4 linked regions of the Pelodiscus sinensis genome follow. The protein of the gene in region 4 purifies or fractionates together with the protein of the main gene of each other region. This does not show direct contact. Links are inferred from orthologs where the notes say so. Each region holds a gene or a part of one and is shown on either strand. Other genes may lie near its edges. The genes, in order: CNOT1, EYA3, TNKS1BP1 and FHL2.

Region 1 (7,241 bases), on a different chromosome or scaffold from region 4:
TAAATGAAATAAAAATCTGGGTTTGTTTTTTAATGCAAGACTTAAATGCTGAGCCTCAGTTGACTCCTCCTCCATACAGGCAGCTTCTCTAAGGGAGACTTGCCCCACAAGCTGGATCTGGGCTGCAGGTTCTCCACCCCCACACCGAAGGTGTTTGCTCATCACTGCCGGATGCTCTCTTGGACTTGTGGGGAGGGGCGGGTGCACTTCTCTCACCTGCCACTCTGTGACTAATAAACCAGGAATTGCTACAGGAGCTGGATCATCTCTGCTGCAGAGCCTCCTCCCTGTTAAGCTGCAGGGATCCTGGCTTGGGTCTCTGTATTTCAGAAGCTGGGGCTGGGTGACGGGTGGGATCGCTTGATGATTCTCCTGTTCATTCCCTCTGGGGTATCGGACCTTGGCCACTGTCAGAAAACAGGGTCCTGGGCTAGATGGACCTTTGGTCTGGCCCAGTCTGGCTGCTCTTGTGCTGGGCCAGGAGTGAAAGACGGGGGGCTGGCTTGTAGAAGCTCCATACTAAGGTGGCAGGTTGACTTACTCTGCCCTTGGTGTAAAGGCTAAAGACTGGAGGCTGCTCTGTTTCTCCTAAAGGGCCGGTATGTTGGTAAAAGCAGCCGGGACTGCGGTGTCCTAGGCCCAGGAGGCAATAAGCGTGATGCATTTCTTCCCTTGGGGCCTCGCGCTGCGGGGGGGGATTGCTCAAATCCTGTGTACAAAGCTGTAACAAACAGGCATGGGTGGTGCTCGGCTGAGCTGGTTGGGGCTAGCGGGGGGTGAGGGGGAGCACGTGCTGTGCTCCCAGGCTGTCATGCTAAGCATTCCCAGGGAAGGGCTGGCTGGCCGCCCGCTTATGGAAAGTCCAGCTCAGAGGCCCCGCTTGGTACCGGCCGGTGTTCCTGGGGCTCAGGGTGTGAGCCAGTGTATTGAAAAGCAGACGCACCTGATTCTCTCTCATCCGGATCCCCTACCTGTAGCCCATAGCGCCAGCACAAGGCAATTCTCCATCCCTCTCAACCCATGCTCCTTGAATTCACATTTCCCCACCCCTCCTTCCTGTGCATGTTCTCTGAGCAGCCTGCTGGGTGGGGATACCTCTGAGGAGCTGACGTCCCAGCTGCATTAGGCACGTGGCCAGCCTGGGTTTTTCAAGAGTGACTTAGACACATAAGTCCTATTGAAAGTCAACAGGGCTTGTGCTCCCAACTCCCTTTGTCATGCTCAAACACACAGCTGCCTCCTGCTGACAGTGGCAGGCCTGGGGTAGTGGTGTGATGAGCACAGCTCCCTACAGACAGATGGCTACTTCTGCTTTCCCTGTGCTGGAGGAGGGGTTGGAAGCTTTTTAAAGTGCATTCGGCAACAGCAGCAACTTGCTGGATGGGGTGGGTGCCTTCCAAGGAGAGGGGGATGCAGGTGTAACACTGGTCACCTGTGGGTGGAATTGAACCTGGGACCTCTGGAGCCCAGCACAGGAGCCTCTACTGCAGCAGTGGACAAAGGGCCCTCTACAGGCCAGATTCGGCCCACCAAGCCAGTGAAGTGGGCCTGCGGCCGCCCTGCTGCCCCCACCATGCTGGGGGTGGGGAACAGGCGAAGTCTTTCGTGTCTTGGCCCCACCCTACCAGGGGCACACAATGGCTAGAGAAACATGCCAGCTGTTTTAAAGCAGCTGGCATGTATCTCTAGACGCTGCACGCTCTTGTGGGGACCAGGAGACTTTGTCTGCTCCCTTGGCCCTGATTGGCTTGGGGAGCGCGTGAGGTCTCCTCCCACTGGGTGCCTAGAGGGAACTGCCAGCTGTTTTAAAACAGCTGACCTTTCTTTCTAGGGGACAGGGGAGGGAAGGGGAAGATTTCCCCCACCCCAGGCCAATCAGCATTTTGGGGGAAAGCACAAGAAGTCTCCTGGCCCCACCCCTTCTGTCCAAGGTTCTGCTCCTTCCAGGGTGGCCTGGGGTCACTTCTGAAATTTCTGAAGTGGCCCCCTTTTAAAAATTATTGCCCTCCCTCCCTCTTCTACTGCACGAGCTAAAAGCTAGCTGTTAGAACAATGAGTCTGCTCTACAGCCTTACCTATCTGTATGGGTCTTGGTGCCACTGGAAAGGATAATGCACTGCACCCAGGAGAGACGTCTTCTAGTAGAGGAAGTGGGTCCCAAGCTTCAGAGACATCCCATTTGAAATCCCAGAGGAGCCCCTATTTGCAGAGGTGATGGATGATGTGGGTTGTTGGGAGGTGGGCTTGAGCCTGTGATCTTAGGGGCTAGGGATTTTACTGGAAGGGCTGCATTGCAATTTGATAGTTCCATGATCCTGAGTAAACTGACCTGGGCTCTGAAACATACTTTTAGTTATTGGTAGCCAGAGGACTCCACCATCACCGACAAAAACAAAGCTATTACTTTCATTTTGTGAAGACATTAGCAAGTGACAGGACACGAACTTGTTCATCATTACTTTTGTATGATTTTTTCCCCCCTATGAAAAATGGTTCATATAATTGGTTATAAGATAGTTATTAATATAATCAAGCTTCTCCTATAAGTTGTTCCATTTCATGGCTATCCTTGCTGGCATTTTGATTACACTATTTGTATATAGGACAATTTTTAACAGGCTTACAAATGCTGGCAGAGTAAATACTAGCCAAAAAAAACCCCCAATAATCATCACAAAAGTGAGCTTTGTTTAGATAAACTATATACAGTAATGTAATAGTCATAGCTATTGAACAGGGTGTTATCCATTACAGAACAAGTGTCCACATCTTGTTTCTAATGGTGTTTTCATAAAATTAAAGCTTTTATTATACATATTTAGCAAGGACATTTCTTAAATATTAGTAAAAATATTGGCTAGATTTTTAAAAAAAATGTGAATATACTTTGTGAGAGTCAATAGCAACAAATATTTACATGTCCCCTATTTTGCTTAGTATGTAATTAGTGGTAATTTTTCGTAACCAGAACCTTTTATATTTTTAAACCATTCCTAGTCTAGAGTTTCAGGGGGTAGCTGTGTTAGTCTGTAACTTTAAAAATGAGTAGACCTGTAGCACCTTAGAGACTAAAGACAATATATCTGTATCATGAGCTTTCGGGGGGCAAAACCCACTTCTTTCAGATGAGATGATTTTGAGATCATCTCGGCTGAAGCAGTGGGTTTTGCCCATGGAAGCGCATTGCTCCAGAGTGGCACCATATTTTGTTTTCCATGCTGGCATTTCCCTAGCTCCAGGCACTGACACACACCCTCACGCCCATGCGCTGCTCCGTGCACTGGTTCTGGATCCAGAGATGCTGTGGCTGGAGGGGGACCAGGCCTGTTTCTGCTATGCACCAGCTGCCAGCCCAAGCCAGGCGGGGCTGCTGCCTGCAGGGATTCTGGTCTCACACTGGTTTGACTTCAGGAGTGACTCCTGCTTTGCGTTGGCGCGGGGCAGGGCGCTGCCTAGCTCAGCAGGTGCCAGGCGCTCCAAGCCTTTGCCATGTGCAGACCAAGAGGGGCTGGCTGGAAGATCATGTGACACTGGGGGAGGGGAGGGGAGAGACTAGAGCAAAGTGGCCTGTACCATTATATAAGCCTCACGGGGGTGTGTGAGAGAACAGGAAAGATGCAAACAACTCCTACCACTACAGAGGTACGGGGGGGGGGAGGGGTGATGGACTGAACCACTGTGGAGGTACAGTGGGGTGGAGAAGCCTGCCCGCATTGTTGTAGCGCAGGTGGACTGTACCATTGGGCTCTCCGCCTACAGAAGGCACATGCCGTGCAACATGGGGTGGCGGGCGGGAGATGTTGCCCCTCACGCTAGGGCTGGGCAGCCACTCCTCTTCCCCAATGACTCCGCTCGCCCTTTGCGGCCTCCTTTACTTCCCCTTCCTCGCCCAGCCGCGCTCCTCTTCCATTGGCCAGACCCGGGAGCGCAGATGCCTTCCCCGAACGCTGATTGGCCACAGCGCCTAGGCGCAGGAGCCCTGACCTTTGATCTGCCGACGGGAGGGAGGAAGGCTTCCTTTTCATTAACCAATCAGCGTCCGGCCTTTGCTTTGGCGCAGAAACGCAACGCTCCCCTTTCTTTCCCGAATGGACGCCGGTCGCTGATTGGGTGGAACCCCCCCCCCAGCGCAGGCGCCTTTGCCGCCTGCCTGAACTGTGATTGGGTGGAATCGCGTACGCAGGGGAGGACGGCCGCGGCCCCGCCCTGCGCGTGGCGTGCCGCGAGGGGACTGGGGAGGGGAAAGGCCGCGACGTGAGCGCGCGACCCCGTCCGCCATTTTGTATTGAAACCAGCAGAGGCGAGAGGCTGAGAGGGGATAAAAGCGCGAGAAGCTGACCGAGGCGCCCGCTCTGGCCCCGCGACCCCCGCCCTGCTGCCTGAGGTGAGCGCTCCGACGGGCCCGGGGAGCGGCTGCGGAGGCCCGGCGCAGCCCTGGGCTTGGGGGCCGCGGGGCCCGGAGGCCAGGCGAGCAGGAACCAACCGGAAGGAGGGGCGCTTGCGCGGTGGGGGCTCTGGGGCGGTGCTGAGGCGCTCGGGCCTAGGCTGGGAGTGGACCCGGGCTCGGGGGCAGTCGGCGGCCTGGGCCTGTCGCGGGGACCCCGCGCGCGTCGGGAGGAGGCGAGCCCCGCCCCCGTCTCGAGTTGGCAGCAGGAGCGGGGGGGCGCGGGTGGGTTTGGGGGCCGGAAGTTCCCGATAGCAGGAGCCCCGCGCCCCAGCCGTGTCCGGGGGCCTGTTTGCGCCGCGCCGCCGCCGCCGCAGGGCTGGGCGGTTCGGGCTGGTCCTGCCGCCCCGTGGGGGGGGGGGGGGGGGCTGTGCTCCCGCTCCCCGTGTCCCTGCCCGGGGGGGAGGCGGGGAAGAGCAGAAACTTCCCCTTTCTCCTGCGCGCTTCTCTGAGGCACCAGGCTCAAAGCGCTTGCTAGCAGGGAGCCCAGGACAACCTGCCTCTTCCCTGTCGGGTGAAGAGGGTTGGACTTGGGCAACCCCTTCCTCTGGAGCTACTTTTGCATCCGTATGAGTAACCGTGGTTTGGAGTGGGTTGGAGCATGCCTTTGAATACTTGTCCCTCAGTGATCGCTTCTAACCAGCAGCTACATTTGTTCTCTTCTTGGTAGAATACATGTTTGCTAAAGGAGGGAATAAAACTAGCTGGCTATTTGGTGGAAATGCAAAATATCGATTGATTATTTTTTTGGTCCCTTGCCTCTTAAAAGTGCCCTATTAAAAAGCAGTTTTATCAAAGACTATATCCTCATTTAAACATACTTGAAACACACAAATGGTGCTTGTTTATAGGTTAGTGTAGTGGTTTTCAACCTGTGGGCTGCTTGCAGCCAATTCAGTGCACAGCTGCAGTTCTCCATATGGCTTCTCAGGGCCATGCAGGTAGAGTATATATGTTGCCTGGATGTGGTCCAGTGTAACTACAGATCCAGCCCACAATAGAGAACAGGTTAAAAATCCCAGTGAAGTAGAATAAGTCTTGAATATTTTAAATGTCACAATATACAAAATGCAGTTTTGGCTTCAAGAAAACTTTTTCTGGGACAAACTAAGTTAAGGATTTAAATAAACTGTTGGGCATTGTAAACAGAGACTTGCATTTGTAGCATTCCCCCCCTTGCATCTGCTTTGTAGAGCTGCTCTTTAACTCTAAAACTTTGATGATCTCTTGAATGGCAAACCTGACATGGATTCTTGGAAAGTCTAGTAAAAGGCAGTCTTGAAGAAAGCCCCACCGTTTATAAGAGTGCTATTATATTGCCTGGGTTGATGAAAAATAAATTCATAAAAATGGAGTACATGTTCTTATAGAAAGTACTGTGAAGGCATGGTCTCTAATTGTGGCTAAGTTCAGAGTACTAAAATATTTAGCTATTGAGCTGAAAGGAAAAAATCTTTCCAAATATTTCCATTAACAGTAATAAGCAGCTAACTAGCATTTGCCTAGCTCAGAACTAGAACACTTAACGCACTGTTGTTTTTAAAAATAGCTTCCTTGAAATGGGTGTTCCTTTCTTGTGTAATAGCCTTGTCTTCCTGACTCTTGAAACTAAAAGGTGACTGCCAGCTAACTTTAACAAATCACAAAAGATTTTGTTCAGCACACAATTGCGAAAGGAGCGAGATGTGATTTACAGTGGCTTTACCTATAATGAATGGATGTAAAAGTTCACTATACCATGACAGTCAAATATGGATTTAGTACATGCAACTTAAAAGTTTAAAAGCCTCCGGTTTTGTCATCTGTTTGGATAGTGCACATGCTTTGTCTGCTCTACTTCAAGGACTCTGTGGTGGAAACCATGAAAAGATAGCAGCAGCTGTCAGATTGTTAAGCAGATAGTGAAATGCAAGGATTTCTGTATATATGGAGGGAATTCTATATACGAAGAATGAATTGTCATAAAAGTAACTTCAGGATGCTGCTTGTTGCCAGGGTAGCAATATTTTGGATTGAATAAGATGAAGGCAAAAACTAGCCCAGATGAGATGCCTTGTAAATAGGAATAGAGAGGTAGCCGCTTTAGTCTGATACTTCTAAAACAAAAGGGAAAAACTATGTAGCACTTTAAAGACTAACAGGATGGTTTAATAGGCGATGTGCTTTCATGGGCCAGACCATGAAAACTCATCACCTATTAAACCATCTTGTTAGTCTTTAAAGTGCTATGTAGTTTTTTCTTTTGTTTTTGTAAATAGGTGGCAGCCTTCTATGGCTGTGCAGCAATGTACTTTCTGGTCCCACTCCTGCATCTTGAGTTGGTATTGTCCTACACTCCGTCTCCCTATAAATATGGCTCTCTCAGCCTGACCCACATCCTGTTGCCAGACAACTCCATCTTTCTTTCTGGAGAGAGCATTGTTCTTGATCATTCTTCTAGTCAGTGTTTACTTTAAAATTGTATTTACTCATTCCAATCCAGATATTAGTTTCCCAGTAATGTGACTAAATTGTCATGCATGTGGCTTATGCAGTGCATTTTTTCTTGCCTTAAATGCTTAAGCAGTAAGTGTTTTGTAGTTAACTTAGCTTTGAAGCATATTTTCAGTTTCTTCCTTAACAGTCTTTTGTAGCACTAACAGGGAGGATTGGGCAATATGACCATATTCCAAACTAGTTTAGTAATTTTGCTCCTCCATGTTTCTTATGTAGTATCTTACGGAATTTATATTCCTGAAGTGGCCTCACATTTTTTGGGCTCAGATAAATCTCTAACCTCCACATTGGAGGAGTGGTG
Region 2 (7,830 bases), on a different chromosome or scaffold from region 4:
AACTGTTTTTTCTTTGTGATCCTGTCTAATATCTGTTTTGTGGGCATTGATCCTTTGGCGAAGTGTCTGAGACGTTTGTCCAATGTACATAGCAGACGGACACTTTCGGCACATGATAGCATAAATTATATTTCTGGATTTCTGCATCCAGAAATATAATTTATTTCAGAACAGAAGGGGGATGTGCGGGGGGGGGAGAGGAAGGAAGGTAAATGTCTGTGAGTTAATGATATTAGAGGTGGGGATAAATTATATGCAGAAATCCAGAAATATAATTTATGCTATAATTTATAGCCATGGAATAAGCCCTCCGCCACAGCACTGCAGTCAGGACAGTGTCCCCAATTCTTGATTTGATATTTTATTCCATCCATGCTCTCAACATGCTCTAACTTTCTATACTGGAGGCAGTGTCCAAGATAGAAGATAGAACAAGTTTATATCCAGATAAGGCCACTTTGACTACAGCTATTGCCTTGGTGTCTATCTCCCTGTCTGTACACTCTGCAAACCAACAAATGCTGCTATTAAAGAAGGGGGAAGTGGGAGAAGGTACTTTGCCTGATGCTTTGGCCACATCTAGTATATCTAGCCCTCCCTAGCTTCCTCACGCCTTTACATCTAGTTGCAAACCCCATGAGGTAGGTGTATGTCTTACTGGCCAAAGTAAATATTGCTATAATCTTTGCAACCCCCCCCCCCCATTAATCATTACAGTACATCATCACATTATGTAGTATCCTGGGTGGTGATACTGCAAGCTGATCTCTACTGATAGATTGTTTTATACTCTTTTAGAGCCACATGGACAGAAGAGTCTGTATAGACCAGCTGGCAGGATCAGGACTGCAGACAGTTAGTTCCCTGTGCAGAAAAATTGTCATTAGTCTCAGATGTGTGTTGACCAGAGTAGCACTTAATACAAACTAGCAGTCTCTGTCACAAACCCTGAAGTCAAGCTATTGATAGGATTAGAAAGGTAAGGAGAAGAGAGTTGCCTTAAGCCAGTGCTCACCAACCAGTAGATCAGGATCTACTGGCAGATCTTGGAGCCTTTGACAAGTGATCTTGACATGGCCAAGAGGCTATCAAATGCTGGCACTTCAGCTGCCCCTTTCCCCTTTATTAGAGGCAGCAGCACAAGGCAATAGGCATCCAGTCCGCAAAGGAGCTAGTTTTTAAAAACTCGCTCTCCTCACAGATCAGTACCCACCTGGCAGGGGTCTTCTTGGGAGTGAGGCTGGAGCACACTGGCTGCTGGCCCTGCCCCCAAGGACTGTAGACTAATCGACTAACCATTAAGAATTCATGAGGTTACTCAATTATTCAATTAACCAATATTTAACATCCCTACTTGTGATGGGCCACTTCTGTGTACTGGTGAATTAGTACCCTGTAAGCTTCACCTAGATGGGGTAATGCTACATAAGAACGGCCGTACTGGGTCAGACCAAAGGTCCACCTAGCCCAGTATCCTGTCTACCGACAGTGGCCAGCACCAGGTGCCCCAGAGAGGGTGGACCGAAGACAATGATCAAGCGATTTGTCTCCTGCCATCCCTCTCCAGCCTCTGACAAACAGAGGCCAGGGACACCATTTTATCCCCTGGTTAATAGCCTTTTATGGACCTAACCTCCATGAATTTATCCAGCTTCTCTTTAAACTCTATTATAGTCCTAGCCTTCACCGCCTCCTCTGGCAAGGAGTTCCACAGGCTGACAACACGCTGTGTGAAGAAGAACTTCCTTTTATTAGTTTTAAACCTGCTACCCATTAATTTCATTTGGTGTCCTCTAGTTCTTCTATTATGGGAACTAATAAATAACCAACAAATTATGTTCTTCTACATGCTTCACAATTTTATTCTTTACTATTGTTTCAACTAATTTGCCCGCTTCTGAAGTTAGACTTACAGGTAACTGATTAATTGGTTACCTGTTCATAGCCCTGGTATGTGTGGCTAACTAAAATCATGCCAGACCACGGATGCTGCAGGACCAGAGTGTGCTGGATTAGAGAGATTCAACCTGTAGTAAATGTATCAGGGCTCAGAATTAGTCAGCCAGTATCTAGGATTTGCTACAGGCTATGTCTACACGAGCAGCTTCTTGTGCAAGAACTCTTTCTTATTTGGAAGAGTTCTTGTGCAAAAACTCTTCCACGAGAGCGCGTCTACACTGGCATGTGCTTTTGCGCAAGAGCATCCATGCCAGTGTAGACGCTCTCTTGCGTAAGAAAGCTCTGATGGCCATTTTAACCATCGGGCTGTCTTGTGCAAGAAATTCACGTTGCCTGTCTACACTGCCCTCTTGTGCAAGAACAGTTGTGCAAGAGGGCTTATTCCTGAGTGGGAGCGTCAGAGTTCTGGTGCAAGAAGCCCTGATTTCACACATTAGAACGTCCATTCACTTTCACAAGAACTCACGGACAGTGTAGACCGGCCGCAAGACTTTGTGCAAGATCGTGCCTGTGTAGACACAGCCACAGTGACGGCCACAAAATGGAAACAGCCACGTGTAGACTGACAGGCCAGTGATGATTTCACAGAGCTGAAGCCAGGAAGCCGCCAGTGAGTTCTCCCAGACCAAGCGGGAGAAGCCCCGAGGCCTGTGGCAGCGCACGGCCAGGCACCAGCAGGGCGCGACGGACCGACCTCAGGAAAGGCCGGAGCCCCGCGAGAGGAGGGGCGAGCCCGCCTGCCCCAGCGCGGAGCCACGTGCGGCCCCCGACGCGCCCGCGGGCTGCGAGCGGGGCAGGAACGAGCCGAGCCCCTCACGCGGAGGGGGGCTCCCCCGCCCCCGGCCCGGGCAGCACCACTCCTGCCGGCAGGGGCGGGGCCACGTGCGCGGGCAGCCGCCTCTTACCGTGCGGCGGCCCCGGGCCCGGCAGCGCGCCCCGCGGGGGACATGGCGGCGGGTCAGCACCAGGAACGCTCAACTCGGAGCCCAGCCAGGGCAGCAGGACCCGGAAGCAGAACCCGGTGACGCCGGAAGTGACGCGGGCGGGGCGGGGCGGGGCGGGGCGGCGCCTCCTTTCGGCCGGGTGGGGTTAGTGCAGGGCTGGGTCTGTCCGCCAGCCTCGAGCCTCGCTCCGCGGGGGCTGGGGGAGGGGCAGTGACGGCCCCTCCCCCCCAATAGCAGCAAAACTCGTGGAGCCGAAAAGACCCGAGCTGCCCGTTTGCAGCGGGCCCGGCCGCTCTGGGTCCCGGGCTCGGCGGGCCGGTGTCCGGGGACGCTGGTGACTGAGGCGAGGGGCTCTGAGCAGTGACTCCCTGCAGCCCCCCCCCGCCTGCGAGCTCCGCGGGGCCCTGCGGGTGGGCGGCCATTCCCTCGGGACGCTGTTAGGGGCGTTGGGCAACATCCTGATTCGCTGCATCGCGACGGGGGCACCCTGAGTCCTCCAGTGTAGGCGAGTGAGACGCAGCTGGGGCAAAATGCAGGACGATGCAGCACTCTAGAGACTCACAAGATGGTTTATTAGGTGATGAGCGTCCGTGGGCCAGACCCACTGCCTCAGACCAAACAGTGGAAGAAAACAGCCACCACCATAGATACCAAGGGGTACAATCAAAAAAATGAACACACATGAAAAGGACAAATCACATTGCAGAACAGAAGGGGGATGGGGGGGAGGTAAATGTCTGTGAGCTAATGATATTAGAGGTGACAATTGGGGAAGCTATCTTTGTAATGGGTGGTGTCAGAATTATCAGTTGGTTTCATTAACATAGTCATCAGCATTGAGGAATACAATGGCACACCTTTTATCTACTGGTCTGATTGCTATTTGGTGTTTGGATTTCAGGGACTGTATTCCTGTCCCTTCAGCAGTGAAGAGAGTAGAACGATGTGATGTCAAGGATTTCACAGTTAATTATTTTTGAGACAGGCAGTGTAATTCCTAAGATTAGGTTTTCATACCTTGTGAGGTGTTCAGTCAGATCATTCTTTTTTCTTATAAATCTATGTGAGGTCATGTTAATTGTAGGTGGTGCCATTGAATTGGTTCAGGCGGAGTTGGTGTAAAATTCTTCTACTTCTCCACATTAGTTTGATGTCAGGTATGACACTGTGTGGAATACATGGCCACTCAGTGGGTACGTCTAGACTACAGGATTTTGTCGACAAGTTTTGTTGACAGATATTGTCGACAAAACTTCTGTCGACAAAGAGCGTCTAGACTACATTCAGTTCTGTCGACAAAGCAGCTTGCTTTGTCGACAAAACCCTGTAGTCTAGACACAACCCTACATGCAATAACACCTTCTGTCAACAGAAGGTGTTATGCCTCGTAAAATGAGGTTTACCATCATCAAAAAAACTGCTGAGTTCTGTCGACGTTATGTTGACAGAACTCAGCGGTAGTGTAGACGCAGGTATACTTTTGTCGACAAAACTCTAGTCTAGACACACCCAGTATAATTAGGTATCGGTATAAATAGGTATCACAGTGGTCTCTGAGAGTATTTAAGATCATGGACTACAATTGTCAATTCTCTTGGGAGGCAAGGTTGTGTTTCAATGTCGACTTCACCTACCAGAAATCACAATGTAAAACACATTAAAACCCTCTTCACAATACTGATTCTTTCTACGATAATTAAACAGTCATTTTCTCTATAACCATTTGTCCTCTACTGCCTGTGACCCTAGGCTTCATATTCTTCATAGAGCTATATTTGTGATCTGAATGTGGCATAACTCAGCTATGTTTTATGCAAGATGGGTCAAGGAAAGGTTATGGTTTACTAACTATTATCCCATTTGTATGCATACATTGTTTCTGTATCTGAAGTTAGAATTATTGACTATGCAACAATCACAACTGTGGTTTATTTTTGAGTAAGGTCCACCAGGCAGTATGCAGAAACTTAACAAATAGTCTTGCAGGGCCTTTGAGACTAACAAAAGATGTAGATGAAACAAAAAGCAGGACTATGTAGCGTTTTAAAGGCTAACAAGATGGTTTAATAGGTGATGAGCTTTCGTGGGCCAGACCCACTTCCTCAGATCAAACTGTGGAAGAAAATTGGCATGACCAGATATACCAAAGGGATATGAAAAGGACAAATCAAATTTCAGAACAGAGGGAGGATGCGGGGGAGGGGGGAGGTAAATGTCTGTGAGCTAATGATATTAGAGGTGATAATTGGGGAAGCTATCTTTGTAATGGGTAAGATAATTAGCATCTTTGTTGAGACCTTGGCATAAAGTGTCAAATTTAAGCATGAATGTCAGTTCAGAGGATTCTTTTTCAAGTCTGGTGTTAAAATGTCTTTGAAGATGTAGATGGTATCATGAGCTTTCATGGGCACAACTCACGTCTTCAGACAGTATGCAGTTAGTCTAGATGGGACATTAAGAAGGACAATAGGTCTTTAAAGGTAGTAATCACACTCCTTCCTGAGAAGTTTGCGGGAATGCTCCTTTGACATCACAGAGTCATGTGATCATGTCACCTGGTACTTTTCCACAGGAAGGGAATCAGGGTCTACTCCAAACAAAAGTGCTGCCATATGCAAATCCTGGTTAAGACTGGGGAGTGAGATAATCCAGATTCTGCACCCCCATCTCTATCCTGCTCACTGGCAGTCCTGTCCTGCTCACTGGATCCCTCATGTTTAGCTCCACCCCAGAACCTAGGGGAGCTTACAAAATCCGACCAACCCTGGAACACCCAGAAGAGTTAATCTGGCCTGAGGTCTTGAACCTCAGTCCTACCTACCCTCTCTTTCCCCAGGGGGTTGGAATGCCAGGAGAGTGAGGAGTCTCAGTTGGGGTCACATCAGTGAGGTTTGGAGGGGTTGTTTTTTTGCATCTCACTTGTGTGGTCCTCAACCGATTTTTCTGTAGGTTGGCAGCCCCTGACCTAAAACAGGTTCCCTGCCCCTCCCACAAATAATGACAATGATGAAACCTTTTTTGTTGGACATAATATTTTATTTAAAAATGAAGCCTGGCCAACAAGCCCCTAATTGGGGCCAACCCCTCCCCCACAATCTGGCCACAGAATCATAACACTTCTGCACCCCCCCACACACACACACCAACCAAAATATCTTATGGCTCTATATGAAACCATGCTACGCCCACATATTGAATACTGCGTACAGATGTGATCACCTCATCTCACAAAAGAGATATTGGCATTGGAAAAGATTCAAAAAAAGGCAATAAAAATTATTAGGTGTTTGAAACAGGTCCCATATGAAGAGAGATTTGAAAGATTTGGACTTTTCACCTTAGAAAAGAGAAGACTAAGGGGGGATATGATAGAGGTCTCTAAAATCATGAGTGGTGTGGAAAAAGTGAATAAGGAAAAGTTATTTACTTATTCCCACAATGTAAGAACTAGAGGTCACGAAATGAAATTAATAGGCAGCAGGTTTAAAGCAAACAAAAGGAAGTGTTTCTTCACTCACTGTACAGTCAACGTGTGTAATTCTTTGCCAGGGGATGTGGTAAAGGTGAGGACTGTAACGGGATTCAGCAAAGAGCTAGATAGATTCATGGAGGTTAGGTCCATCAATGGCTATTAGTCAGGATGGGCTGAATGGTGTCCCTAGCCTCTGTTTAGGGATGGGTGACAGGGGAGGGATCACATGAGGATTCCCTGTTGTGTTCCCTCCCTCTGGGGCATCTGGTATTGGCCACTGTCGGCAGACAGGACGCTGGGCTGGATGGACTGTTGTGCTGACCCAGTCTTGCTGTTCCTATGTTTTTTACCCTGAGCCTATCATACACCTGAATCTCCTGCCCTGAGCCCCCCACAATCCCAAATTACTATACATCCCCAGTCTTCTGCCACAAGTCCTGCACCATCCGCACGCCACAAATCTGTGACCTGAGCCATCATACTCCCAATGCCCCTGCCCTGAGCCCCTCATACAGCCCAACCCAAACTCCTGCACCCTCAGCACTCCAACCCTTCATTTGACCCCAACACTCTCCAGCCTGGAGCCCCCTCCCTAAGTCAACATCATCTTCTCCCCCACCTCCTGCTCCCAAATTCCCTCCCAGAGCTTGCACCTCTCACCCCTTCCCACACCCAAATCCCTCATTCCCACCCCAGAGCCCGCACCTCCTGTTTCAACTCAGTGAGCGTGAGTAAGGGCTGGGGACAGGCAGTGATGGAGAGAAGGGGAATGGTGGGGCAGAGTCTCCAGGAAAGGATGGGGTAGATCTTGGCTTAAAAAGCCATCTTGGGTGTAAAAAGTTTGGAGACCAGTCTACACTTTGGTGGTTTAAAAAAAATAAAAAGATAGCTGCCCGTGACCACTGTGAGACAGGGTAACCTGGTTTTGTGAGTTGGTAGATCTTAGTTGTAGTTTCCACTGCACCAGAGGAAATAAATGAAGGTTAAATACTATTCCAGTTGCTCAACATCTGTTCATTGTTAAAGAAATATTCCTCTGGGGGGTGGAGTTTTCATCTTCTGTTGCAGCATGGGCAGGAGTCATTTGCTGGTTTAAATTAGAATAAATGGTGGACTTTCTGTCTTTAAATCACTGTTTGAGAACTCAGCCAGAGGCTATAGATCTATTCCAGGAGTGACTGGGAGAGATTCTGTGGCTTGTAAGACTACGTCTACACTGCACACTTATTTTGGAACAAGCTATTCTGGAATAGTTATTCCGAAATACAGGCAGTCCCCGAGTTATGCGGATCCAACAGATCCGCAGTTACGAATGGGGCCCATCTCCCTAGTCTCCAGCAGACCAGGGAGAGGAAGCAAAGACGCGTCTGGGCTGTCCGCTGCCTGCGTGTTCCGCGGCTTTACTCCCCGTCCCCTGGTCTACAGACCAGGGAGACGGAGAGCAAAGCCGCAGAG
Region 3 (7,406 bases), on a different chromosome or scaffold from region 4:
GAGCTTCAAGAGCAAGGAGTTCGTCTCCAGTGACGAGAGCTCTGGCGACAACAAGAAGGAGGTAGGTGCCGGGCAGGGCAGGATGGGCCCAGCCCGACGACTGTGGGGGGTCCTGTGTTAACCTGCTTCCCCTCCCCCCCCACAGGACTCTGAGGAGGAGGAAATCGCCAGCACGCCCCCCAGCTTGGAGGACTCTGCATCTGGCTCGGATTAGAGCTGCCCTGCCCCCTCCCTCCCTTTAGCCCTGCCCTGTTCCGGATGGCACAGGTCATAGGTCGCTGAGGTGAGAACTAGACTCCCCTCCCCCTATCCCTTCTGCCAGGGGCGGGGCTGGAAGGACGACACAGCTGCCCCATTGACTGGACCCAGCCCTGCTTCTGGCCCTTGCTTGCCCCCTTCTCCCTCGCGGGGCTTGTGCTGAACTCTGGAGAACGACGGGGTGCTAGAAAGCAGGGGAAGGGGGTGCACCTCCAAGCTGCCGGAGCCCCACTAGGCCCTAGCAGGGGGCCCTCCCAGCGTGCTGCGGGGAGCCGGCTGGGCGGGGTCTGTCCCCTGGCCTGTAGCCGGGCTCCCTCAGCATTTTTTATGTTCTGTTTATTTTTGTATTTCTCGTCTGTTCACGTGGCAATTGGGTGGAATAAAAACCAAGCGACTTTGGGTGGAGCTTCTGTCTTGAGTGTGGCTGGGGGACAGATGGCCGGGTCTCCCAGTGCAGAGGGAGCAGGCGAAGCCCCACGGGGTGGTCGTCTCCTCCCCACGGCCGCATTGCTGGCTGCCATCCACAGGAGCGCTCCTGCGGTGGGGTGGGGCTGAATTTGGGCCAGTGCCTTATCTCACTTCATTCCAGTAAGCTGTGGCCTTAACGGCATTAAAGGCCATCGGACACCTGTGGGAGCTGCCTAAGGAGGGAGGCGGTCGATAGCAATGAGGTTTAGTCAAGTGTTAGGGGCTCCCTCTTCTCCCCTGTCTGTGGCCTGGGCCATTAACAGGCTTAGCCGGCAGGGAGGGTTGTTCCTAAGATGGCTTTATGTGGGGGAGCCTGCCCCATACCTCCCAGTGGATGCTGGGTCCTGGAGCGGAGCACTTCCCCTCTGCCTCCTGGCCAAACCCCCCAGCCCGCTCCTGCACCTTACCTCCTGCCCTGGGGGCAGCGTGGGGGGCTCAGAGCCTCATCGCTGTCCCTTCTGGGCCTAGAGCTCTGCCCAGCTCGCACTGCCCTGAGGGTGGGGGAAGGGAGCGCGAGCGGCGGCTCATTCGTCTCCATTGCGGCCCTTGCTGCCAGGAGAACTAAGCCAAGCTGGGGGCAGGAGGCCTGATGTGATCAGAGCCTATTACCGGACCTCAGTGCTCCATTAAAGTGTCTCTGCCCCCCACTTCCAGTCACCTGTGCGTCAGCCCGTGCACTCTGCCTCGCTCTAATTGAATCAGCCCGCAGCGCCGAGAGGGCAGAGAGCCCTGTTGGCCTTGGGAGGGGGAGGAATGCGCCCCAGGGGCCGTGGCTTTCATAACCAAGGCTGGAGCAGGTTAATTGTGCAGATGGAAGCTGGCCCTCGCGGGAAATCCTCCGGGGTCCCATTTCCTTTGGCCTACTTTCTGTGGGTTATTTACCAGAAGTGCTCAGCTGCCAGGAGTAAATGGGAAGGCAGACTGCAGGCAGCCACGGCAGTGCCTCTCTTCGCGCACCGTGTGCGGCACTAGGGCCGGGCCCAGCAAGGGCGTGGAATCGAAAACCAGAAGGGACCTCTGACCACCGGGATGTGACAGCCCCTACATCCAATGCCCAAAATCAGACCAAAGCATTAAGCCGCCAGAGACTGGGCCAGTCCTCGGGCCACAGCGGCTGTGCCTTTAATCCTCTACTGTCACATCCGGCTGGAGCGTAGGGTAGACCCGACAGCCTCTGCCCTTCCTGCATTTGTCCTGCGATTCCACCGCAGCTGGGCCTACACTGCTTTGCCCTGGGAGCTGGGCCATGTAAGCAGCTGCCCACGTGCAACTGGGAGCTTTCAGGAGGTGTGGCTGCCTGGCAGGGCAACATGCAGAGATGACTAGAGTTGGCTGCCCTTTGGGATGAAATTTACAGTGAGACTTCCCAGGTGCTGTGTTAGGTTCTTCCTCAAGGCAGGGATGCTCAGCTTTGGTCCTTGGGGACTCCACAGCTATGTCTACACTGGCAGGTTCTTGTGGAAGAACCTCTTGTGCAAGAACACGTCCACACAGCCATGTGCTTTTGCGCAAGAGTATCCATGGCAGTGCGGACACTCTTGCATCGGAAAGCTCTGACGGCCATTTTAGCCATAGGGCTTTCTTGTGCAAGAAACTCCTGCTGCACGTCCACACTGCTCTCTTGTGCAAGAACGCTTGTGCAAGAGCGCTTACACTTGTTAGAAAAGAGCGTAGCTGTTGCACAAGCAGCCCTCTCTTCCTATGCTTAACTGTAAAGCTTGTGCAAGAGTTAGGGGGCCGTGTGGTCAGTGCGCAAGAACCTCCGTTCTTGTGCAAGAACCCACCAGTGTAGACATAGCCTAACAGTCCAGGACTTCAATCCAACCTGTCTTCATCTGAAGAAGTGGGCTGTACCCACAAAAGCTCGTGATGCCATCTACATGTTTTGTTAGTCTTTAAAGTGCTGCCGTGCTATTTGTTGTTTAAGTTTATTATGTATGGAAAAGAGTTGGCTTTAAAATCAACACTGCATACTACTGAGTATGAAACACTTAAATGCCCTGATTCATACTAAAGTCTATGGCCTGTGAAAACTTTTAAACAGCTGGGCTATGTCTACACTGGCGGGTTCTTGCGCAAGAACCTGCAGTGCGTCCACCTGGCCCGCCTGCTCTTGCGCAAGAAGTTTTACAGTGAAGCGTGGGAAGAGAGGGCTTCTTGCACAAGAGCTACGCTTTTTCGAATAAGTGTAAGCCCTCTTGTGCAAGAGCTCTTGTGCAAAAGGGCAGTGTGGATGTGCGGCAGGGGTTTCTTGCGCAAGAAAGCCCTAAAATGGCCATCAGAGCTTTCTTGCGCAAGACAGCATCCACACTGCCATGGATGCTCTTGCGCAAAAACACGTGGACGTGTTCTTGTGCAGGAGCTCCTGTGCAAGATGTTCTTGTGCAAGAACCCGCCAGTCTAGACATAGCCAAGTAGTCCTGTGGCACCTAAGAGGCAAACAAATATATAGCTAGTATCATGAGCTTTTGTGAGCACAACCCCCTTCAGATGAGATGAAAGCTCATAGTACTACAAATATGTTTTTGTTCCTCTCTGAGGTTTTTAAAATTACAGACTAACCTACAGGTGCCCCCAGAGAGACTTTTTATCTCTGGCCTATAGGGATTCTCTATGCAGTGTAACTGAAAACCAGCAGATTTGAATAAAAATAATTTGCTGGTTGCAACAAAACCTTAGATGGTTGGAGATCCCCCCAGGACATGAATTGGTCGAATAGGGTTTACGTTTTAAACTGTTGTTTTGCAGAACCTGCAACCTTTCAGTCAGGTCCTGCTTGTTGTTTGGACAAGCTGTGTGCGTGTGTGTGTACACACCTCCACTCCCCTCTTTACCCTTGCTGCCGGCAAAGCCTGTAATCTCCCTAGTTAAGTACGCAGGCTTGGAAAATGGCTTTCCCAGTTCTAAGGCCTCTGTGTGAGGTCCCGAGAACCAATAGTTTAAATCTTTATCTATTTACTCACACTGAGTGAGAGGAAAGTAGGAATGTGTGTGACCAATAGCCTACTAGTGCCTGAGTCTCTGGACATGCCTGAATATGGGTGAAACAGAAAAGGGGTTTAGCAGATATGGACAGACATCCTCTGTCCCAGCTATGGCCCTGGTGATTGCAGGAGAGGTTAATTAGGGAACAGACTTACAAAGTGGGCTGCCTGCAAGGGGTTTGGAGATTCCTGCCTCTGGACCTGCCAGTCCAGCATTAAAAGCATGCCCCTCTTACAGCCAGGCTGCACTGGAGAGTTTTAGGGGCACAGGGGACAAGGCTGGGTGAATAATGAAGATGTCGCTGGAGCTGCCCAATGAGGGCTGCAGTGATTTTAATTCCCAGGGGGGCTACTGACTCTGGAGTTACCCCTCCCAGCCTGGGCACGGGGGGGGGGGGGGGGCAGGCAGGCAGGCATGGAAGTGCCTGGCATGTTACCAGCTCGGTTGAACACAGACACGCCCCACATGTGAGCCTGGGGCCAGGCGCGCCCTCCCCACCTCGGGGTCCTGGCAAGCAGAGGCCGGTTCGGGCGGGAGGGGGAGGAGGAATGAAAAGGGCAGGCTGTAATGATCGAGGGGCGGGTATTCCAGTCACAGCTGGGGGGTGGGGGGCAGGAGCGGGGCCTCTCTAACCCCTCCCTCCACGGCACATCCTGCCCCATGGGTCGATGGCTTCAGCAGGGTGACACGTGGGAACGGGCGGTGTCCAGCGCGGGTGATTTGCATAACTCATGAATATGCAGCAGAGGGCGGAGGACCGCCCCGCCCTTGTTTTGCTTCTCATGAATATGCGCGGGGGGGGGGGGGTCGGGGCGGTGCCGCGCGGCGCGGAGCCCGGTGAGGAGCCGCCGGGACCCGGGGAGGGGGCGTGTGCGGGGCGCGGGGCTTCTGCCTTGGGGGGTGGGTGCTGAGCGTGCCCGGGGCTGCGGAGGCGTGTGCGGGCTGTTTGGGGGTCCCGTGGGCGGGGTGACGGGGAGGAACGGGGGGGTTGGGGTGCAGGGGCGATGCGGCTCTGCGGGGCGGATGCTGGCCGGGCTGCAGATGGGGGGAGAAGGGGGCTTGGGGGTTTGGAGACGTGGGGAGTCGCAGAAAGGAACGCTCAGCAAAGTTTGTGATAACAGCTGTGGGGCGGGGGAGCTGCGGGGGGGGGGGGGAGGCGCTGGCAGCAGGGAGGGAAAAGGGTGGGCGAGGGGCAGCCTATGGGGTCCCCCTGCTGGCCGCAGTGTGTCACGGAGGGGGGGGGTCGCAGTGCGGTGTCTTGGGGGTGCCCCATACTAGATTCTCTTGTCTCCAGCCGCACCCAGGGGCTGCTCCGGGCTGTGGCCAGGGCCTCTGCCTGCCCTGGAGGATTCACACTGATCCCTCCCCTCGCTGACCCTTCCCTTGGGCCCTTGCCAAAGCCGGGCCCTGGACCAGCTCCTAGAATCGCCTCCGAAGAGCTGTGTGAGGCTGTGTCCCTGGGAGCGGCCAGTCTTGTCACTGTGCCACCCTCAGCCACCTGGCCCTCCGCTTGATGCCCTATCGACCCCTGTGCCCTCTTTCCTGACCACCCACCCCCTGCACCTCCATCCCTTCTCCTCTCCTGCTCCCCCTCTCTCCCCTTTCCTCACCCTGGCTTGGTTATCCCCTGGCTACGTAGCTAATCAGATTCTCCTTCCTGCTGGAGGAGGAAGGCGAAGGCTCAACTTTGCCTTTCACTCTCCTGGATTCTAGCTCCAGGTGAGTGAGCGCTTAGCTGGGCTGGTCCCTAGATTTGCAGGTGCCAGAGTCCCTGCAAGCAAGGGCCTTGCCCTGTCCATTACGCTGCACTGTTCCCTTGAGCCGAATGGGGCCCTCTTGCACTTGTCCCTTTGCCTTCCCCAGGCTTGGGCCTGGTCTGCTCCACAGAGTTGATCACATTCTGTCAGTGTCAGGGTTCCCACTGACAAAGCCTCCGCTACACCGACCTAATATCTCCACCTTTACAAGAGGCCTAGCGCTTAGGTCGATGTAGTTAGTATGCTGCATTACTTCTATTGCCTGGAGCTGACAGCTGGAGCCTCCTCCCCTACCCAAATTTTTTAAAAAAAGTGTTTGGGGGTCCCACGGGCAGGGTGAAGGGTAAGAACAGGGGGTGTAGGGGTGATGGAGCTCTGCAGGGTGGATGCTGACCAGGCTGCAGGTGGTGGGGAAGGAGGCTTGGGGGTTTGGAGGCATGGGGAGGAGCAGGAAGAAATCACAAATTTTGCAGAGTGTAACAGCTGTGGGGGGAGGTGCTGGCAGCAGGGAGGGGGATAGGAACACCTGCAGGGAAGAGGGTGGGGGGGAAAAGGCCCTAGCTCTGAGCTGGTGGCTCATTTTCTCAGTAGGGGTTCAACCAGCAGTGAAACTAACATTCTTGTCAGTTTCACGGCTGGTATTAGTTCACAAGGTGCCCTGCAAGAGCTCCTAGGGGAGATGCGCACCACCAGTAAGGAAGGTAGCATAGACACCAACAGCTGATTCAATCGCTGTGGAGGTTGTAGGTCAACCTAATTGAAGTTGACTGAATTCTGTGGTATAGATAAGCCCTTGGTCTCCTACGTGCCACCTTTAGCTGTGACCATGACTAGCTGCATGTCCCTTTAGACTCCTCCCTGCTCCCTCCCTCTGTCTGTCCTAAGACAGCTCTTGGCTTGAACATGAGGTGGAAGTCCTGCCTCAGAGGCCTGGCAACTCTTGGGTATTCCCTCCTCTGCTTCAGCTTGCTTGCTGCTTGCAACTTAGGGCTCCTCGTGCCTGAGCTGCCCTCCATCTCCCAGCCTGGACTCCACTTAAAACCTCTGTGCTGTGCTGCAGTGCAGATGCTCTAGGCCAACGGGAGGGAGGTTGGGAGCGATGTGGATCCGAGCAGCTCTCCTTCCGTGCACTCTACCCGGAGGGCTAGGTTGGTGTAATTATGTCCCGCTCAGTGGGGGGTTCACACCCCTAACTGACGTAGCTGTTCTGAAGTCAGTGTGTCGTGCAGACCTAGCCTTACTCCGGCACACTTTCTGCACTCGTCGGTGTGAATAGTCCCAGTGTAGTCATGGCTAGGTGGGCAGGCAAATGCTTCCCTCGGCCACGGTGCTGTGGCCACAAATATGGAACCTCCCCATCAGTCGCTGTAGCCCGTGTGTATGCTACAGCAACAAAGCTACGGCATCTTCGCTGTGACGCCTGTAGTGTGGACAGGGCCTCAGTCTCCTTTGCTTGTTATGTTGTCTGTGAGCTCCACCTCTACTGAGGCTCCTCCCCCAAGATCGCCTCTTGCCTTGATGATTGTTCCCTTCTCCATGTCCCAGCATGGCCAGAAGCTGCCATTCACCTTCTGGCACCTACGCAGAACCCCAACCATGGCTCCCTATTCTTGGACTTCTCCTTTGGGACCGTGATCGGCTGTAGACACGATCTATGTGGTTGGTCCTATTCTCAGCCTCGTCCTATGGCCCCTCTTACAGAGGATCACCCTAGACCAATGTTCCCTCTAATCTTTTCCATTCATGTGCAGAATAATTTTCTGTGCACAGAGGCATGTGTGAATGTGCACCACCAATAGAAACACAACGCCTAGCTGTGGGCACTTGGCTAATCGGTTGGGACTCTGTCTTGAGTGGCCACACAAGCACATGGCTTATATAGGGAACACCGCTGTAGACCCTTCTAAGTCCTATGACTCTGTGAAAAGGTGATGTAGG
Region 4 (7,921 bases):
ACCACCTTGACAGTTGGAAAGCTTTTCCTAATAGCCAATCTAAACCTCCCTTTCTGCAATTTAAGCCCATTGCTTCTTGTCCTATCCTCACGGGTTCTGGAGAATAATTTTTCTCTTTCCTCCTTGTAACAATTTTTTAGCTACTTGAAGTTTCACACTGAAGTATACATCTTTTTTCTCTGGCCTATGAAGAACAGGTTGCCTGAGAACGTTTTTATTCCTTTGGAGCTTTATTTATGATTTGGAAAATTGCAGAAATGAGTTTTTATGGTGGGATGGGCTTATTTATTATGAATGTTTTTGATGAGACCAATATTAACTGTTGCAAATAACATCAGTATTATTTTTAATTTGTATTATGGTAACACATGGAGGCTTCATTGTGTTAGGCACTGAATGCACACAAAAAAGACAGTTCCTGGCCCAAAGAGCTTATACGCTATCCATGTTACCAGACAGGAAAAAGGAGTATTAGATGAAGAATAAAGCAATCTGGTTACGTCTAGAGTGCAGCACTTTTCCGGGATACCAGAGGTATCCCAGAAAAACAATACTGTGTCCACGGAATGCATCCGCTTTTCTGAATTTTTTTTTTCAAAAAAGCGGATGCTCTCTTTCGCCATCCCTGTAAACCTCATTCTATGAGGCATAAGGAATGTGTTGAAAGATCAGGTCCTTCCGAAATTTGGTGCCATATAGATTTGCCAAATTTTGGAAAAGCCTCTTTTGAAAGAAAATCAGGAAAAAATACACAATTTTCAGTACACAAATTGCATATCTTTTTCCGATTTAACTCTGCAGTCTAAATGTAAGCGGGGGAATGATCCCGCTATTGTGGGGAACTTTCCTGGCTTCTATACACCCCGGTGAAATGAACCAGCAAAAGGATCTGAGTCCCCGCTCCCACTTCCTTTACCCCATGGCTCCCTGATCCTGAGGGCTCCCCCTCCACTCTCCTGAGTAGCAGAGCCCTTGAAACCCCAACAAGGCTGGGCCCAGGTTTCCTGGGGCTTAATCCCTGACCTTGTAGTCACTAGGGGCAGGAGTTAGGGTGTCCCCACTCCGAGGTGCTCTCTTTACACTGCAGGCCTTCTTGGCCCAGTGATCACTTCATAAGGTTCAAAGCAAATACAATTTATTAAACAACAACTGGTTAAAGAGAAAAGAATAAGAAAAAAATGAGAATGGTTAAATGAGAACACACAGCCCTGCTCTGTAGCACAGGGACATCAAAACAGCAGCCTGCAGAGTGTAAGGACAGTCCACAGTCTCTTCCTTAGAGGCCTTGGATGTGCTGCGGGGGGGGAGGGGCTGCAGGCTGGACACGCTTGCTCTGGCAGTGACCACACAGCCTCAAGCTCTAAGTGGCCAGACCCCTCTCCCAGTCCAGAGCCTCTCCCCACACTTTGCAGTTCCCAGCTGCTCACCACATCCAGCTGCAGGCTGTGCTGTGTGGCCAGTCTCTAGCTTCTTGCATTGCTTCTCTGTTCCTTTTGGCTCTCTGAGCACTGCCAGTCTGCTGCTCAACACAGGGTCTGCGCTCTTTGAGCTGTGTGTGTCTGGCTCAGCTGCTGCAAAAACTGCCCCTCAGCACACAGCTTGCACTGCTTGGGCTGTCTCTCAGCTCTCTGTTCCTTTTGCAGGACTTCTTCTGCACACAGCTTGCTTTGCTTGGGCTGTCTCTCAGCTCCCTGTTTTTGCAGGACTTCTTCACACAGCTTGTACTCCTATTTCAGCTCTCTGTCTTTGTAGGACCTCTTCTGCACACAGCTTATTTGTTCAGAGAGAGAGCCAGAACAATCCCAGCTCACAGGGAGGACGGGGCCTGGCCTCTCCCCTTCCTCACTGGCCTATCCAACCTGTCAATCAGGCTGAGCTGGAGTGTTGGCTGCTTTCCATTGTCTCTGGGGTCTGTCAGCCTCCTGAACCCTTCCCCCTCTGAAAGTGGGAGCTGGCAAACCAAAAAACTCCCACAGAGTTTTAGTAAGGGGTAACAGTCCCCTTACATAAACATAGCCTCTGATTAGTTTACTAATACCTGCACAAGGAAATTAGTTCCAAATAACCACATTGGTCGAGGGTGTGAAAAAATCTGTGCTGCTGAGTGATGAAGTTAAACGGTCCTAATCCTTGGTCTAGCTAATGTCTCTTGGGGAAAATCCCTTCCCACTGCAGTGTTTTAAGTGTAGACAAGCTGTAAGTATCAATATCATTCACGCATTCTCTAGGCCCCGTCCCAGCTTAATGCCAGTGAACAGGACAGGTACCTGTTGAGTTGTGTGAATCTTTCATAAATCTAAAACAAAATGATGTATTTTTCCATTCTCACATCTCATTGGATAGTCCTTGTTATGATGATATGTGATCATGCTTATGGCATAAGCATTATCAATATGGGAAAAGTTAGAAAAGTGTTATTCCTACAGTACAAAACTTGGGTCATCTGATTAAATTAATAGGCAGCAGGTTTAATACAAACAAGAGAATGTACTTTTTCACTCAATGCACAATTAAATCCTTCTCACAGGATGCTGTGATCGGCCAGAAGTGTAAATGGGTTCAAAAAGAGAATCTAATATGTCCTGGAGGATAAGTTACTCAAGACAATTGCTATTGGTCAAGATGGTCAGGAATGCAAACCCGAACTTGGGATGGCCCTAAATCTCTGAGGGTACATATACACAGCAGGGCAAAACTTGAATTAAGCAATGCAATTTCATCTATATCAATTACATAGCTGAAGTTAAAATAGCTTAATTCAAATTTTGGCACTTTCTACACAGAGGAAGTTGAAAGAAGAACACTATTCCTCTGACTTCTCTTATTTCTCATGAAATGAGGGTTACAGGAGTCGGAGTAAGAAGTCCTCCAGCTCACCATTATTTCAAAATAATGGCTTGCAGTGTAAATGCACACTATGTTATTTTGGAATAATGTCTGTTATTCCGAAATAATGGTTCTACATAGACACACCCTGAAGGTCAGAATATAATAATGGGTCACTCCAACTTCCCTGTTCTCTACATCCTCCCCAAAGCTCTGGGACCAGCCATGGTCAGAGACAGGATACTGAGCTAGGTGGACTATTGGTCTGACCCACTATTGTCTGACCCTTGTGACCTTACTTTTTGTTTCTTTCTCCTGGGAGAAGAGACTGTGAGTGTGTCCAGAGTATTATAGAATAGAGATGGAATCCATTCAACTCCCCAAATCTAAACATTCCTGAACTTTTGGGAAGTTTTGGTCTTGATCCCAACTTCATGAGTGAGTCCTGTCTGAACCAAAACTTTAGCTCTGAACTTATGAGTCCCAAACATTGGGAGATTTTGCAATTATCTTCCTTCTCTTTAAAGCAAGGGACTGTGGGCTTGAGAACCTCAGTTGAATACTGCTACAGATAAGAAAGATGGACACTTTTGTTATTAGGACCCAAGCCATTTAAATCTTCATTTGGGAAACCAACTGGAAAACAGCACAGAATATGGTGCACAGGTGTAATGCAGTCCACATGAGAAACTACTTCATAGGCAGGCAGTTACATTCGGCAGTAATTTTGAATGGTTTTAAGGTGTAGTTGCAAGCATGGGGGGTTGGTGCTGCTGGGGCTGAGGGAGGCAAGCCTGCAGCCCCTCCTACAACCCCACCCCCTCTGCTGTGGAGCAGCATGCTGAAAGCACCCCCTCCCCCAGGAAAGGAAAGAGGGAGAAGGGGGCATGTGCACACGCCCAAGCCTCCCCAGCCCCTGGAACACTGGGGGAGGGAGGAGGCCATGTGGTGTGGTTCCTGCCACCCTGGTCCCCAGAATACCAGGGTAGGGAGGAGGACACATGGCAAGGTGTCTGGAGCACCGGGGGAGAGAGGAGGTCACATGGTGCAGGGCTTTGATTTGCTTTGGGAGTCTCCTTGGCCCTCCAGTGACAACACAACTCTTCCCTCTCTTAGTGTACCTTAACTTCTTTGCTCTCATAGTATTGGAGTGTCCTTCTCTTATAGCTTAATATATTAATTAGCCAAGGTCACTAACATATGTCAGTTGAATTACTATGGTTATCTGTGGTTAGGCATCTGCTAATATGTCCTCCAAAAATGTTCTAAAGATGATAGGTACAAACTTCTTGCAACATTTGTGATTGTTAGAAGACTATACACAGAGTCTTATGCCATCTTGTGACTTAAGATCATTGTTAGTTTTCTAACTTATAATAGCTTACTATTGATCAATTATCCTTAGGCAGGCTGAAAGGACTCACGCTAACTGCTTAAGTTATCCTTATCGATCTAGGCCTACAAGTCTTGCACCTGTGCTGTCAATTCCTTACCTCTCTATCTTATGATTACTGCTATAATTACTGTACAGCTACTGGAGAATAACTGAATCCCCAGGTTGCAGCCTGCTCAGCATTCCCAGAACTATAGACAGTTGTGCTGGCTGCACCCCACACGTAAAAGCTAGTTTCAAATCTGAATGAGATAATCCAAAAAATGGCTTGAAAACTCTTCAGCGCAAGAAATGCTCAACTCTGTCAGTGGATGAAATGGCTCACTTAACCAGGTTGTTCACCAAGCAAGACCATTCTGCTGAATCAAACTTTGCCGGCATTAGGAAGAAAATTTCCCATGGGCAAATTATTTAATTACTGTCCATTATGAGGATGCTTGCACCTTCCTGTGAGGCATCTGATACTAGACTCTGTCAAAGACAGAGTGCAGGAGTACAAAGACCAGCTGCTCTGATGCAGCATAGTTATTGCTGTGTTCCTAATTTCCCTTCACATGAGGATTTAATTAAATAATAAAAAGTGTTGAAATTACTTGCCATTAAATTAAGTAAATGTGTGGTACAATGCAATAACACTAAACGGGATATATATCATCTTGTTTCTTTCAATGGAGTTAAAGGTAACCTTACTATATTTTAGAAATGTGCGTCTGTCGGTCTGTCCGTCCATTTGTGAGTTCATTTGTTCAAGAACAATGGGACGCGTCTGGAATTTGATTATTTCTCATAAAATGGTAAGTGAGAAGTCTGATAGAAGGGACAGTTATACTGTAGAATGACCACAGGGGGGCAGCAAGGAGCCAGAAATGGGGACTGGGGTAGCTATAACCCCACTGGGCCAGCAAGGGGTAGGAGTGGAGAAAGGGATAGCCAACTACTATATATTTCAGAGAGTTTGTCTGTTTATGTGTCTGTCTGTGTGTTTGTCCCCCAGCTGGAGGACATGCACCACTCCCCAAGCTGTGCCAACTGCAACTGCAGCAGCCATGATCAGACACTTTTCACCTGGCCTCAAGCTACTACTTTGAGAAAGGGCTGGGGTTGTCCTCTCTCCCCAGGGCAGCCTGAATACTGAACCTCTTATCCTCAGCCCCACCCCAGAACAATGATTAAAATTAAGAAAAACAAAACTTACTTGAGTTAAGGACCAGAGCAATGCCAGGTAAATCTTCTAGTAAGTCATAAATCTGAACCTGCTTGTTTTCTTCTTCATGACAGATCAAGAGTCTAGACACCAAAATGACTGAACGCTTTGACTGTCACTACTGCAAGGAGTCCTTGTTTGGCAAGAAGTACATCCTGCGAGAAGAGAGTCCCTACTGCGTGAAGTGTTATGAAAGTCTTTACTCCAACACCTGTGAGGAATGCAAAAAACCAATTGGCTGTGATTGCAAGGTACTTTGGACTTGCATTTCATTGACATCACATCTGTCAAAACAGATAGGATAGGTCCATTCCCCACACGGGATCACTACAACACTACAGGAGAAAAGGGATCTGGGTGGAAGAGATCTGTTTCATAACATCTTATCATAGAATCATAGAATCATAGAATAATAGGACTGGAAGGGACCTCGAGAGGTCATCGAGTCCAGCCCCCCGCCCTCAAGGCAGGATCAAGCTCCGTCTACACCATCCCTGACAGATGTCTATCTAACCTGTTCTTAAATATCTCCAGAGAGGGAGATTCCACCACCTCCCTTGGCAATTTATTCCAATTTATTAATTAGGTAATTAAGAACCTGACCTTCCACTGTGCTAAGCACCTCCTTGGAGAACCATGGGAACTGAAGATGCTCAACATTTTCCAGGAAGTGCTTTGATCCAGATTCCCAAGAATATTCATTAATTTTGAGTGCCTCACTTGATCATGGTTTGCCTCATTTTTCCAAGGTGCTGTGTAATCACAGTTCCTATTGACTTAGTGGTTTAGATGCTCAACACTAATGAACACAAGCTTTCTATGGTTCTAATGTTGGGCACCCAAAGAGTGAAATACCAAAAATTATAGGGTCGCTTTTGAGAACTTGGGAGTTAACCTCTCTGCCTCAGTCTCTCCTGGGGTTAAAAGAGGCATACTAATAATTACCTGTTTTACACAGCTAGTGTTCGGATGATTTGAATGCAAGTGAAGTGCTTCAGCTGAAAACTGGAGAGTACTTTTTACCATCTAGAAGAAACTTAAAATATCAGCCTTGTATTTGATAGGCTAAAAAATGTTAATGAGTTTCTTTCTGAATGATACATATTGATATTTTAACTGTTCATTTAACAGTAAAAATATTACTCAAGTAACACTAGGCAGAAGCTATGAAAGAGACAACATGCATGTCCCATACACTCTTGCAGCAGAAAATGTCCATAGAACTAACTTAACTGGCTACCCAGGAATTCCCCTGTAGCAGGGTGGACTCACGATTGACAGATCTCTTTGCAACTGAGTGTGATGTAGCAGCTGTTTCCTCCCCAGTCCCCTCTTGCAACAGTCACTATGATGCTGTGGCAGTCTGCCTTGTCTGGTGACTCAGCACTCCAGCCAGGTCTCATTTTAGTCCTAGCCCCTTCTGAGGTACCAAAAGTTCAATAAATAATTCCAAGGCCAAGTCTCTGGGCCCTGACCCTGGGCCTGATGCTCCTTACATCTTTCAAATCGGGATTGTGAATCATCCCTATTCTCTTCTGTCAGGGGAGCTTTACATCACTTTTCCAAGGCCAGTAGGAGAACCCAAGATCAGCCTCTGCCTGGCTTCCAGTCCAGGGATCCTAGAATCAACAACTAAGGTCTGCTTTGCCAGACATCTCATCACAGCCTCCTGCAATTCCATTCTACTATTAGCCTTTCCTCAGGCCTTTCCCTCTGCCATTTCCCAGGCCCTTTCCCTCTGCCATTTCCCAGGCCCTTCAGTTCCTGCCCTTGTGCTGGGGTCTTACCCTAGTACTGTGCCTTCACATCATCTTCCCGGCCTGGACTTCCTGCTTCCACAAGTCTCTCTACGCTATAGTGATAGCAAAGCTCTGTCTTATCTCTCTCTCTCTGCAGTTCCAGACTTCCAGCACTCCATTGCTTCTTCCCAATTTTATCTTTTATTATGCCTTACCTGCCCTCCAGGTACAGCCAGAGGAGTTAACTGACCTCTCAGACACACGCTAATGCTTTCACCACATGTGTGGGATACAGACTCCCATCACATCAGGCCTCTATGTGCGTGGGGGGAGTGTGCCAAAGGTGTGAAGGAAGAATGAGGGGCTCTGTTGGGACAGTGGGTCCAGAGCTCAAGCTCAGCCACCCTCCTTCCCCCCATAGCAGGGATACTGCGCTGGTACTCCAGCCTCGCCCTCCCTCCCCCAACCCCACACTAGATTGGAGCACCAGTGTCAGCTTCCCATGGGGGGGGGGGAAGGGGAGGAGGGAAGAAAGCCCTGAGCTTCGCTGCATGATCCAGCTCATGGGGAAGAAGCACTTCTGCTCCCCCTCACCTCGGTGGGGGAACAGCAGTGAGTGGGCGTGCTGCTTGGAGGGTTTTACCACTGCTCCCATTGGCTAGAATCTGACCAATGGGAGCAGCAGGAGGCAGTGCCTGGGAGCGGCACGGAGCATGAAGGCAAGTAATTGCCCCCCACCCCCTCATGCCCAGACTCTCA

What was found.
Region 1: the proteins of FHL2 (region 4) and CNOT1 purify together in Homo sapiens (affinity purification with mass spectrometry; 3 studies listed by BioGRID and IntAct, with this or other methods). This does not show direct contact. The link is inferred for Pelodiscus sinensis from reciprocal best matches to the Homo sapiens genes FHL2 and CNOT1.
Region 2: the proteins of FHL2 (region 4) and EYA3 purify together in Homo sapiens (affinity purification with mass spectrometry; 3 studies listed by BioGRID and IntAct, with this or other methods). This does not show direct contact. The link is inferred for Pelodiscus sinensis from reciprocal best matches to the Homo sapiens genes FHL2 and EYA3.
Region 3: the proteins of FHL2 (region 4) and TNKS1BP1 purify together in Homo sapiens (affinity purification with mass spectrometry; 3 studies listed by BioGRID and IntAct, with this or other methods). This does not show direct contact. The link is inferred for Pelodiscus sinensis from reciprocal best matches to the Homo sapiens genes FHL2 and TNKS1BP1.

Annotation. Positions count from the first base shown.
Region 1 is NC_134722.1:46,505,939-46,513,179, reverse strand, and holds the start of CNOT1 (CCR4-NOT transcription complex subunit 1), read left to right. Parts: upstream 1-4,225; 5' UTR 4,226-4,384; intron 4,385-7,241.
Region 2 is NC_134735.1:23,086,735-23,094,564, forward strand, and holds the start of EYA3 (protein phosphatase EYA3), read right to left. Parts: upstream 3,013-7,830; 5' UTR 2,865-3,012; intron 1-2,864. UniProt on the Homo sapiens protein: Tyrosine phosphatase that specifically dephosphorylates 'Tyr-142' of histone H2AX (H2AXY142ph). 'Tyr-142' phosphorylation of histone H2AX plays a central role in DNA repair and acts as a mark that distinguishes between apoptotic and repair responses to genotoxic stress.
Region 3 is NC_134714.1:128,191,914-128,199,319, reverse strand, and holds the start of TNKS1BP1 (182 kDa tankyrase-1-binding protein), read left to right. Parts: upstream 1-4,391; 5' UTR 4,392-4,548; intron 4,549-7,406. Other genes in the region: FACT complex subunit SSRP1, read left to right, coding at 1-61, 146-214.
Region 4 is NC_134711.1:233,436,301-233,444,221, reverse strand, and holds the start of FHL2 (four and a half LIM domains protein 2), read left to right. Parts: upstream 1-4,905; 5' UTR 4,906-4,974; coding exon 4,975-5,013; intron 5,014-5,497; coding exon 5,498-5,674; intron 5,675-7,921. UniProt on the Homo sapiens protein: May function as a molecular transmitter linking various signaling pathways to transcriptional regulation. Negatively regulates the transcriptional repressor E4F1 and may function in cell growth.